Linked DNA regions of Drosophila melanogaster. Changing the gene in region 1 together with any one later gene gives a genetic interaction. Each region holds a gene or a part of one and is shown in the gene's direction. Other genes may lie near its edges.

Evidence for each region. A genetic interaction does not mean that the proteins touch.
Region 2: of Wnk (region 1) and Ncc69, changing one suppresses a phenotype caused by changing the other (phenotypic suppression), as found in Drosophila melanogaster (one study listed by BioGRID).

The regions. Positions count from the first base shown.
Region 1 is NT_037436.4:21,551,706-21,556,593, reverse strand, and holds the start of Wnk (Wnk kinase), read left to right. Parts: upstream 1-1,665; 5' UTR 1,666-2,040; exon of another isoform or gene 2,041-2,213; intron 2,214-2,413; 5' UTR 2,414-2,450; coding exon of another isoform or gene 2,451-2,569; intron 2,570-3,000; coding exon of another isoform or gene 3,001-3,475; coding exon 3,476-4,390; intron 4,391-4,621; coding exon 4,622-4,794; intron 4,795-4,855; coding exon 4,856-4,888. Other genes in the region: CG7173 (uncharacterized protein), read left to right, coding at 1-303, 653-842, 909-943. UniProt on the Drosophila melanogaster protein: Serine/threonine-protein kinase component of the WNK-SPAK/OSR1 kinase cascade, which plays an important role in the regulation of electrolyte homeostasis and regulatory volume increase in response to hyperosmotic stress.
Region 2 is NT_037436.4:12,388,288-12,393,497, reverse strand, and holds the start of Ncc69 (sodium chloride cotransporter 69), read left to right. Parts: upstream 1-2,053; 5' UTR 2,054-2,175; exon of another isoform or gene 2,176-3,001; intron 3,002-5,210.

The DNA.
Region 1 (4,888 bases):
GTCTCTACTCCCATGGCGGTCCAGACCACCACTCAATCGCCGTCGAAGAGCCAGCACCTCGCCAAGACCCACAAGAGCTTTACCCCGGAGCCTCTGCGATTCGAGTTCACCGAGCAAGATGCCATAAGGGGATCGATGAAGTACACCCAAGCCCCGCAAGCCAATCAGTACTACTACGAAACCGTGGCCCAAGCTCCCCGCGAGCCCGCGAAATCTCCTGCCCCGAAGATTGAACTCAGCAAGCCCATTAAGGAATACACCGATGACCCAGAGGATAGTTCCGACACTGAAAGTGGAAAGCAGGTTGGTTCTGTTTCTCAATAAATGTGAAAACCGCAAGTAGCTTATATAAGCTAGCATATTTGTTGGCCAAAAAGTGGCCACAAAAACAAGCACTTCCAACCTTTAAGGCATTTTATAATGATTTTTACGCGATTTAGTGAGTACTTAATTTCGATCAAATCGTTTACGGGTTTAAAATAGTACTCTTCTTTGAAAAAATAAACTTAAAAAAATAGTTGATTCTATCAACTCAAGCTACAAAAATTATACGACTCATCAAATACCAGTAACAGTTTTTCCTAATAAGATCAAATTCTTTTTGCTGTGAATTTAGCTCTTACATTTTTAATTTTAAATTTGCCCATTTCAGCAAGATATTCCAAAGGTGCCCACTGTGACGAGTTCAGCTACTCCTGACGATCCAAAGGACACGGAAAACTACTGCGAGAAGATATGTGCTAATGTGTACGATGAAAACGATGAAATAATCTGTGGATCCGACGGATACATGTACACGGGCGAAACCCAACTGCAGTGCTATTCGTCATGCCTCAATATAAGTAAGAGTTTCATACCCAATATATGTATTGTCTGTATATATTTTAAACCAACATGTTCTATTCCAGGTGTGACGATTAAGAGTAAAGGATCTTGCTCTTAAACTAAAATAAAATAAAAAACTGTTTTAATTTAATTTATTCTAGCGATTACAAAATATGCAAATTTAGTGGAAATGGTAAAATGTAGGGTTTTGTAAAAAGTGATTTTGATTTGTTGTTCACGTATAAAAATATCGTGCACTTATAGCTTTCCTATTCATTAAAGTGATAACTTATAAACTATTAGTGCATGTATATTTAAGTTCTACAATATATTTGTATGTATCTCAAAAATCATTCAGAGAAGTTAGTTATAATAAATAAATTAACGAATTGCAAGAAAACATTATCGAAAATCATATTTATATATATAAAATAAGAGACTATCTGGGCTTTTTGCCTTAGGGGCAAAACAAAAGAGACAGGAGCATCTTCTTGCTGAATAAGGGAAACCTGTATAAGGGTTTGGAATTTATTAAGACTTTGTTAGGTGTGGTTTTTACAGCTGTAATCTGTTTGTAATCTGTTTCATTATGGCAGGCAAAATGAAATTTAAAAAAGTGGCTTAATGCTTAAAGGTTATACAGTATTCTTAACAATGTTATAACTCGTTCGAAGAGTAACGGTCTACTGTTCAAGTTAACAGAGGCCAGGTAACATCTCTGCTAATGCGTAACATATATATTAGGCAAGCTGGTAGCTTGGGTGGCATCACCGCCGATAACACTTGTGTAACAATATGCGCTATCGATAGATCACGAACACAAGTAAACCCAGTTGCTTTGTAAAATTTTTTGTGAAAGTAAAGGGAACTTCTGGCGAAATAACTTCAATTTTCCGCTGACTCTCGCACGCGTTCAATCCAATTGACCCCCCTTGTGGAGGTGACACTATCTCCCGAAAGACTTACCAATCCCCCGTGCCGTAATATGAAAGCTTGCTAGCTCGAATTGCCTTTGAACACCACAATCACAAATTGAAATCCTCGATGCGAACGATCCGACAGTCGCAGTGCGAGCCCTAGACCCCGTCCCGGTCGTAAATCCCCAACTCGAGCACGATCCCGTCGAGCGAAGGACTTCCGGAAGGAGCGGCGTGGAAACATGACATCATAGTCGCTGCATATGCTTCCTGTCCCGAATCAAATGTACATAAATATGTATGTATAGCCAGCGTACCGCACATACGCACATATCCCTCGCGACAGAACAGAACAGAGTAGAGTGGAACGGCAGAGCCAGTGACGAACGTAGTGCAATCGAAACTAGTGATTCATGGAAAGCGCACACCTCGGCCTCCTGGAGACGGCGCCACTACCTCCTCCACCCAGCTGTAAGCGATATTTCAGACGTCGGCACCAAGCAACGAACATAAGTGGGTGTGGGAATGGTCACCTTTCCCTGCTCCTGCCCCTGCCCATGTCTCTGCCCCAGTCCAAGCCAGTTCCTCCTGTCAATAGTGCCGGAATTTAACCTTTGCTCCATTCCTCCATGCCTTCATGTACTCATTCACCGCCTTGCCTCTCGCTTCAGATTAAACGTGGTGGTCTGCTGCTAAAAATCTTGCAAAATTGGACAAACCCTCTGCGACTTCGTACGACAACAAGAGGTCGTACCTGCGAACCGTGCTCGGAAGGGAAGCGCCATCAGCGAAGATGGTACTACCTCCTGCACCACGCAACCTCAAAGGTGAGTTGGAGTCATTGCCAAAACATTTAGGGAATATCTCTATTTATTTAAATATTGTTTTTATTTAAATCAGGGCACATAACAAAAAATGATTGAAGTAACAATCGTTGTTTCATATATGCCTAAATAACGTAAAAGCTGGTTTAAAATATCCTTGTATGTAGTGTGTTAAACTGACCAAGTATCCTACAAAGGATTTGTTTCCCTAGGATACTAATTTTTAAATATGCTTCAACTGGAATTGTTACTTCAACGTCTCTGTTTTAAGCAAAACTTACTAGATAAACAACACGTAAACTGAAACCGTTTTTTCGTTTATCGAATGTTTATAAAATGTTCTTGGAAGGAAGTTTACTGAGAACTGTGGAAAACTCGACTGTTGTACCTGTGAGTCTATAGAATCTAATCAACTACTTCTATCATTCTTTTAGGAATACCTCAATTTCTAGCGAGGAGCAAACTGTGCAGGGAGCTAATATACAAAAGTCGGGACACCGTTCGTTTAATAGATCTGCCTCCTCTAGGCAAAAGCCGAACCCGACATCAAAACTAAAAGACACACTAAACAGAAAGCCCACTTGCAAGCAGGGCACACTTTCTGCACACACGAGCACTAGCAGCACCACTTCAATCCAGTCATCACCTATCGAGCCAGCTTCTTCTCTACCCACGCTGAACACCACGCCTACACCACCAGCTGCCAGCAAAAGTAACCTATTTGTGCGGGTGCTAAGACGCTTTTCAAATAACACCCTTCCCGGCAAAACGGCGTCAAGCCCGAAAAACGTGGACGACGTACCGAAAGTCAACGATAACAACAACGGCGATTTAGGCAAACAGCAATCAACCGATGTAGAGGTGCTTTGCTCTCAGGACAACCAGAGCAGGGAACAGAATGAGGACGAAATGGATAGCAAAATAGAACCTGCAGATGCCATAAGCAACCAGAAAGCTGGTCTTACTTCGGGCAAACCTAAAAAAGACAAGTCAGTCAAGGGGACGTCGCAAGCGGTTGTTTCAGACACCAAGAAAATGGAGGCCAGAAAGTCCTCCTCGGACACGGTGATCGAGCCATTGATCAAGCAGCAGGCGCCACTGCACTCGTCAAAGACCACGCCAACGACTTTGACGGCGAACTTCGTGCAAAACATTCGATTCGTCCGTAAAAATGTGGAACAGTCAGGCAGGAACACCAATCCACTGCAGTTCGTTGAACTCGAGACAGAGTTTCCTCGTGACTATGACGACAACATCGAGATGCTTTCCCGCGAGGCGGAGCATCTGGAGGAGCAGTTCCGCACGCCTACGCGCTCCAATGCTACGGATGCCACTTCCCACCATGTGGCCGGAATCATCGACAACATTATAACCGAAGCGTCACGGAGTCTTACAATCGAAAAGACTGAAGACGATGTGCCATTGAAGTCTTCTACCAAGCACTCAAGCGGCGTAAAACGAGTTGGCTTTCAAGTAGAGGATAAGGACGATACCGAAGTTCAGAGCGAAAAGCAGGCAAAGAGCTTCGACGACATAACCAAAAAAGCGGAGAGCTCCGAGGCTAGCGCAGAGGAAGCTGCTGTCACCGGGTCCTCGACAGATGCATCTGCATCTCCCCTGCCCTCCACGTCGCTGGTCTCCACCACATCTTCAGCTACATCGATAACCAAGAGTAAGAGCGATGAGGACGATGATCCGGTGGCCATGTCGCCGTGCGGACGATTCTTTAAGTACGATAAGGAAGTCGGACGCGGTTCCTTTAAAACTGTCTATCGTGGCCTGGACACGTTGACTGGTGTTCCAGTTGCCTGGTGCGAGTTATTGGTAAGATAAAAAACTTCTTAAGTTTATTGTTGTGCCATTGGGCATATGTATAAGTATTATTATTATTAGTCAAAGCAAACATGATCACAAGCTTGCATAAGCAAGTTATCAGATAGATAATAATTATCATGAATTTTTGATTGAGTAATCTTTTTTATATAATGGATCATCACAATTAAAGTAATCATTAGGTAACATGAAAATGTACAATTTTATTTACCTATTTTACAGGACAAGCAAGTAAAAAAAAGTGAACGTACTAGATTTCGCGAGGAGGCAGACATGCTGAAGAAACTTCAGCACCCAAACATAGTGCGGTTTTATACATATTGGGAGTTTCCTATTGGCCGCAAGAAGAATATTGTACTAGTCACCGAACTAATGTTATCTGGAACTTTGAAATCGTAAGCGTAAACATGGATTTTAATGGGCGAATTGTAAACATAAACTCTTATTTCCTTATAGCTATTTGAAACGATTCAAAAAAATACACCCAAA
Region 2 (5,210 bases), 9.2 Mb from region 1:
GTTGTGTAACCGGGCTTTTTGGGCTAATTGCGATGGGCCAACGAAAACTGCGTGTGACAGGCCAACGGTTGCAGGGCATTTTGCTATCGCACTCAATTAATTAACATCGTTTGACTTATTGACACATGGGCCACGACAACTTGCCTCCTCCTTGCGGCTTCGCAGTCGTAAGCTTTGACGGCTGATAAAATGTATGTAATTAAAATGAACACAATTGGAGGGGCCAGTGCTAATTAAATCATTTGATCTAAGTACTCGTGCATGTTGGTTTTTCTCCATTTTCCTAAGTACATATGTATGTATATGACTTGGCGAATGACTTGTCACGGGGCTTTCGTTTGACACATGGCGTATGCGCAACATTGGGCCACATAATTCAACTTTCGCATGATTTACCCCCATCAAAATCGAAGAATTCAGCACCGCGAGGCGATGGTCTATGAGTGTTTATGTGATAATTGGCTTTAAATGGCTGCTAATTATTTTATAACTGCTGGGTGTTAGCGCGCTCCGTAAATGTTTGCACAGACCTCATAAATTTAAGCAACGCTAATCTGTTAAGTCAACTGAAATTAAATTTCGATCGAATCGTCTATTAATAGCCAGTTCAAACTTGATTGCCACTTGAAAATGATATGGAAAGGGGTGCATAGATACACGATTTCCAAGCTAATTGCATTGCTATCGCCGACTCCTTGAAAATTAATTACTTCTTTATTGGTAAAGAATTGCTATTTTGCTTATAATGGTTTTTAAACCAAAATTGTGTGCGTTGCTGTATGACACAACTTTTTAAACTTTCGAGAGGATTCTAGAGCACTTTTATGTTTATATGTAGATATTTTTGAAAATAACTTTTTCAAATGGCGCTTGCCTTGCACCACAAAATCAATAAAATGGGCCAATGGTTTTTGTGATACGGAGCCAAGGGCCCGCAGAGTTACATTTGCCCACTTGGCGGTTTTGTCGGCCGAATTCCCAGATATTTGTTTACGTTCGTCGGTATCCGGAGTCGCCCCTTATCTCTGATAAAAACATTCGAAACGGTAGATAGCGAGCTCCCAATTATTGGAGGCACTCGATATGACTGGGCTCTCGCCGGCTAATGAAAACCTATGGGGCACAGTTGGTGTTCATTGCGTCCAAATATTTGCATTGCATGCACTTGACCAAGAAACCGGTTCTGATTGCTGCCTGCCTCTTGGGAAACCCCCAATTGTCAGCGGGTTCCTTGGCAAAATATTTGCGCCCCTTCATCGCCAGCTAAGCGAAGCTGTGGAAAAAGTCATATCTGTCACTTGTGTTTGCCAGCAGCTGGTAAATATTTGAAATAAGTCGTCGCGGAAAAACAACTGTCATGTTTGAAAAATTACTTTTTGAGTTTTTCGTTCAATAGGCACTTTTCTCTTCTCCATGTTGAGATTCGAAAGTGATTCATGGCACTTTAATGTTTCTTGGTTATTTAGAAGTATAAAAAACCTTTAAAATTATGAAAAGTGGAAATTAAAAAATAAATATATAAGCACCTTAACGGAAAGTATAAGATTTTGTGTGCAACCCTCCTAAAAGTGTACTAAATTTTTTTTCTAACGGTGATTAACTTGAATTTTCACCGGTTGCAGCGTATCGAACAACTTGCTGGCCTGAGTCATCTTTCAACTCATTCAGATGGCATGCAGTTTCGGATACGGATGTTTCTAACATTCGTAAGGGTGCAAAAGCCACCACCAAGGTAACCCCAAGCCAGCTATCTGATTCACACAGAAACCAAGCCATGGCCATGGAAGCCAAACTCACTCAACACAACTTCAGTTGCGTGCGTGTGTGAAATGGAATTTTTATGCCGCACATTTGGGCAACTTGGGTTCGTTCGATCTCCCTAAATATATATTTGTATGTGTATATATACCCTATATACTATATAGCTCGTTATGCTGTCGGTTGGTTTGGTGCCTCTCGAGGCACATTTGTTTGTTCGCCGCATTCGAGCGAACGACGAAGCGAATTCGCCGCAATCGCTTCTGATATTTTGTGGCGATCGCCACCCGAGTTTGCCTCAGTCAGTCGTCGACTCTCTGAACGTGCGTTTGGATAGCTATTGCCATAGCTCCTCATCGGAATCGGAATAGGAATCGGAATCGTTTGTCGGATCAGCTGCCACGTTTTGAACTCGAAGTAAGAACAGGCAACGATCGTTTATTTTCGGTGCTGGATGTTTATTTTCGAAAACGCGCCCCTTTTAGAGGCCAGTGTTGAAGTGTTCAAGTATCTGCAAGATACCACAAGTACCTGAAAGATTAAAGCGTGTAAAAGTATCTGCAATATGCAATAGAATCTGAACGTTTGAGTATCTGCAAAGCTGAAACATATTCCAATATTTCCAAAAGATACAAAAGTATCCAAGTATCTGTCAGATACAAAGCAGAGCTTTGTACCGCATCTGCTGGCCCGCAGAGTGAACCCATCGTAGACTGCTGCTCATCCTACTGGAACACAATTAACTGGCTCGAATGAGCGTTTTGCAGTGCAAGAAAGCGAAACATCGTCTAAATTTCATATTGTGTATGCAATAAGCCTTCGCCCATCCGAAGAAGTGTGTGTGTAAAAGCCAATCAAGTGCCCTTCTGAACAAACCAAATTTGTTGTTGTTTCGGTGCAAAAGTGCTTTTGGGGAATTTGAAGTGGGTGGCTTGTGGCTAGCATTTGGATATCAGCCGTATCTCAAGTACTCCCCAGTTCGTGCTCATGGATTGCAAGCTCAAGGCAGCGTAGATAATAAAATAATTATTTGTCATACACATAAGTGAGCTTAGTTTTCGCATTCCCACACTTCGTTTTCGTATCGCACTCTTGCGGGTAAATATATGTGGTATTTACCAAAGTAAACTACATCGTGTGCGTGTTGCAGTGAGAAGTGCATTTATTGCTGCAAATTCGTAGTTCAAAGAAAAAACTTATAAATTACCTGCCAGCCAGTTGGATATTAATTTAGTGCGTTTCGGTGAGTTCGCAAAGCGGCAAATTGTATTTCATACATTTCCCTAGAATTTGACTGCGGCTTTTTTGGCCAGCTGTGTTGGCTTTGTATATACAAATTTACATAAATATGTACTTATGCACGAGTGAGCGAAGCTGGATATCTTTTGACCAGCGGCGGTGAATTTCATTTCAATAGGCTACTTTTTAAACTCTCGACTTAAAAATATCTCAGATATGCTTTCCAAGTATCCATGTTTTCAGCCTTTTTGCGAGCGATTGCCATGCACTTGAACTTGAAAGCCAGTTTACCAGTTTTTCCGGGTCCGGTCTCGTCTATCTTTGGCAAGTGCTCTCCAGTTCATCTCCAATTATCTTTGCCACTAAATGGGGTAATAAATTCACCGGTGCATTTATCTGTCTTCTTGAAATTCTATGACGACAATGTGGAAGACGCTCCACTAGAATCATTCAGTGTTCAGGATTGCGGTCAGTTGTCATTTGCTGCTGTGCACTCGCATATCTGGTTGCATATATATAGTTGCTCTTATGGTTTTGACACTAGCATATGCTATTTAAGAACTAAGAGTCAGTTTATATCTAAAAACTACACAAGAGGAATCTTATTTCTTTGATTTATAAATTTCTAATAATACTTTTCCTCTTAAAATTGCTAAAAAATGATTCTTGTAAATCATTTTCCATATTATTTCCATGTCGCTACTGATATATTAATAATGTCCAATTCATTTATAAATTCATATTTAAAGTAGTTAAATATTTATTTGAGTTTCACCACTTTGTGTTTGTGAAGCGCCATATAAAATTCCACACCATTAAACTTAAAGTGCTTGTAAAAAATGTTCATAATTTCATTACCTTTCAAGTGGCTTTTCATATACATTTTAATTCAAAAAAGAAATTCAATTATAATTGCTCTAAAAACTGCATGTTGGAGTGAGAGTGAGCACCACTCCAATGGTTTACGATTATAAACGCCCAATAGTAATCAAGCAAAAAAAAAATCCCTCAAAGAAATTAAATTCTTTTTAATTTAAATAACAATGAAATATAGGTTATTTAAAAAACTCATAAATTAAATTTATTTTAAAGCCTTAGGTAAGGTAAATACTTCGAAGTTTGATACCTGGAAATTTAAATTTTTGAATATTTAATAGTTAATCAAAATGAAAAGACCATGAAATTCAATTTTTTCGTGGACAAATAGAATACAGATCTATTAGAGTGTTTTTCAAAATATAATATTATTTTGTACTCAAATGTTGCATTACTTTTGAAGCTACTTAAGGTAAAAAGAACCCTGTAGAAACTAAATGCAGCTGCATATAATGGGCTTCCATTGCGCCTGGCAACAGAAACCCAGATCCTGGGGTTGCGCTCATTCCACCCCGAAAGACCGATCATCGATCGACATTCTTTATGGGGTAGCATTTGAAGGTCGTGGCCCATCTTCGAGTATACCAACTTAGAAAATGAACTGAATGCCATGGAGCTCAGCTGGTTTGAGCTGTCGCAGCGCATATGTGAACCGAGCACATGCCTCGATTAACTTGTCCATTTGCCAAACCATTGACACACAGACCGGCTAATGGAAATGCAACTCAAATTGTCACTGCTCCCCTTAATGATTCTCGACCGACTTTTGAGGCTGACTGGGGTGGAGCGGCTGGGGGTCGTCGGATTTGCGGCTCAACTGGCGCCAAAGCCGCCTGATCCCCAAGCTTTGCCTGTCAGCCATGGACAATAGGCACTCGGCTCCAGCACGTTGCCGCACCCAGGGGCAAAAAGTCCGGAGAAAGTCAGCCAGACTGACTGACAGATAGACGGACAACGAACCGGAGATCACAACAGAACGCAACGCACTGGCGAACAAATAAACTAATAAATCATTGACCTTGCGAACCTTGACAAAGGCGGTCGACCAGAAAGTGCACGGCATCCATTTGGTGAATAGACTGACGCGAGGCACTCAAAAGAATGGAATATATATCAGGGAAATAAAAAAAAAATATTTTAAAATTTGTGTAGAAAACAATAGAAAAATGAGGCACTTGTTCTATTGCCACTTTGGGTTATCTTCTTAAATAAGAACTCTTGCCTCTAGACTTCTTTCATCAATTCAATCAATATTTTATTCATGAGGTATTCACATATAAGCTTAAATAAGAATTTATAAACAAACTCGATTGCCCAAGAAGCATACGATGAAGACT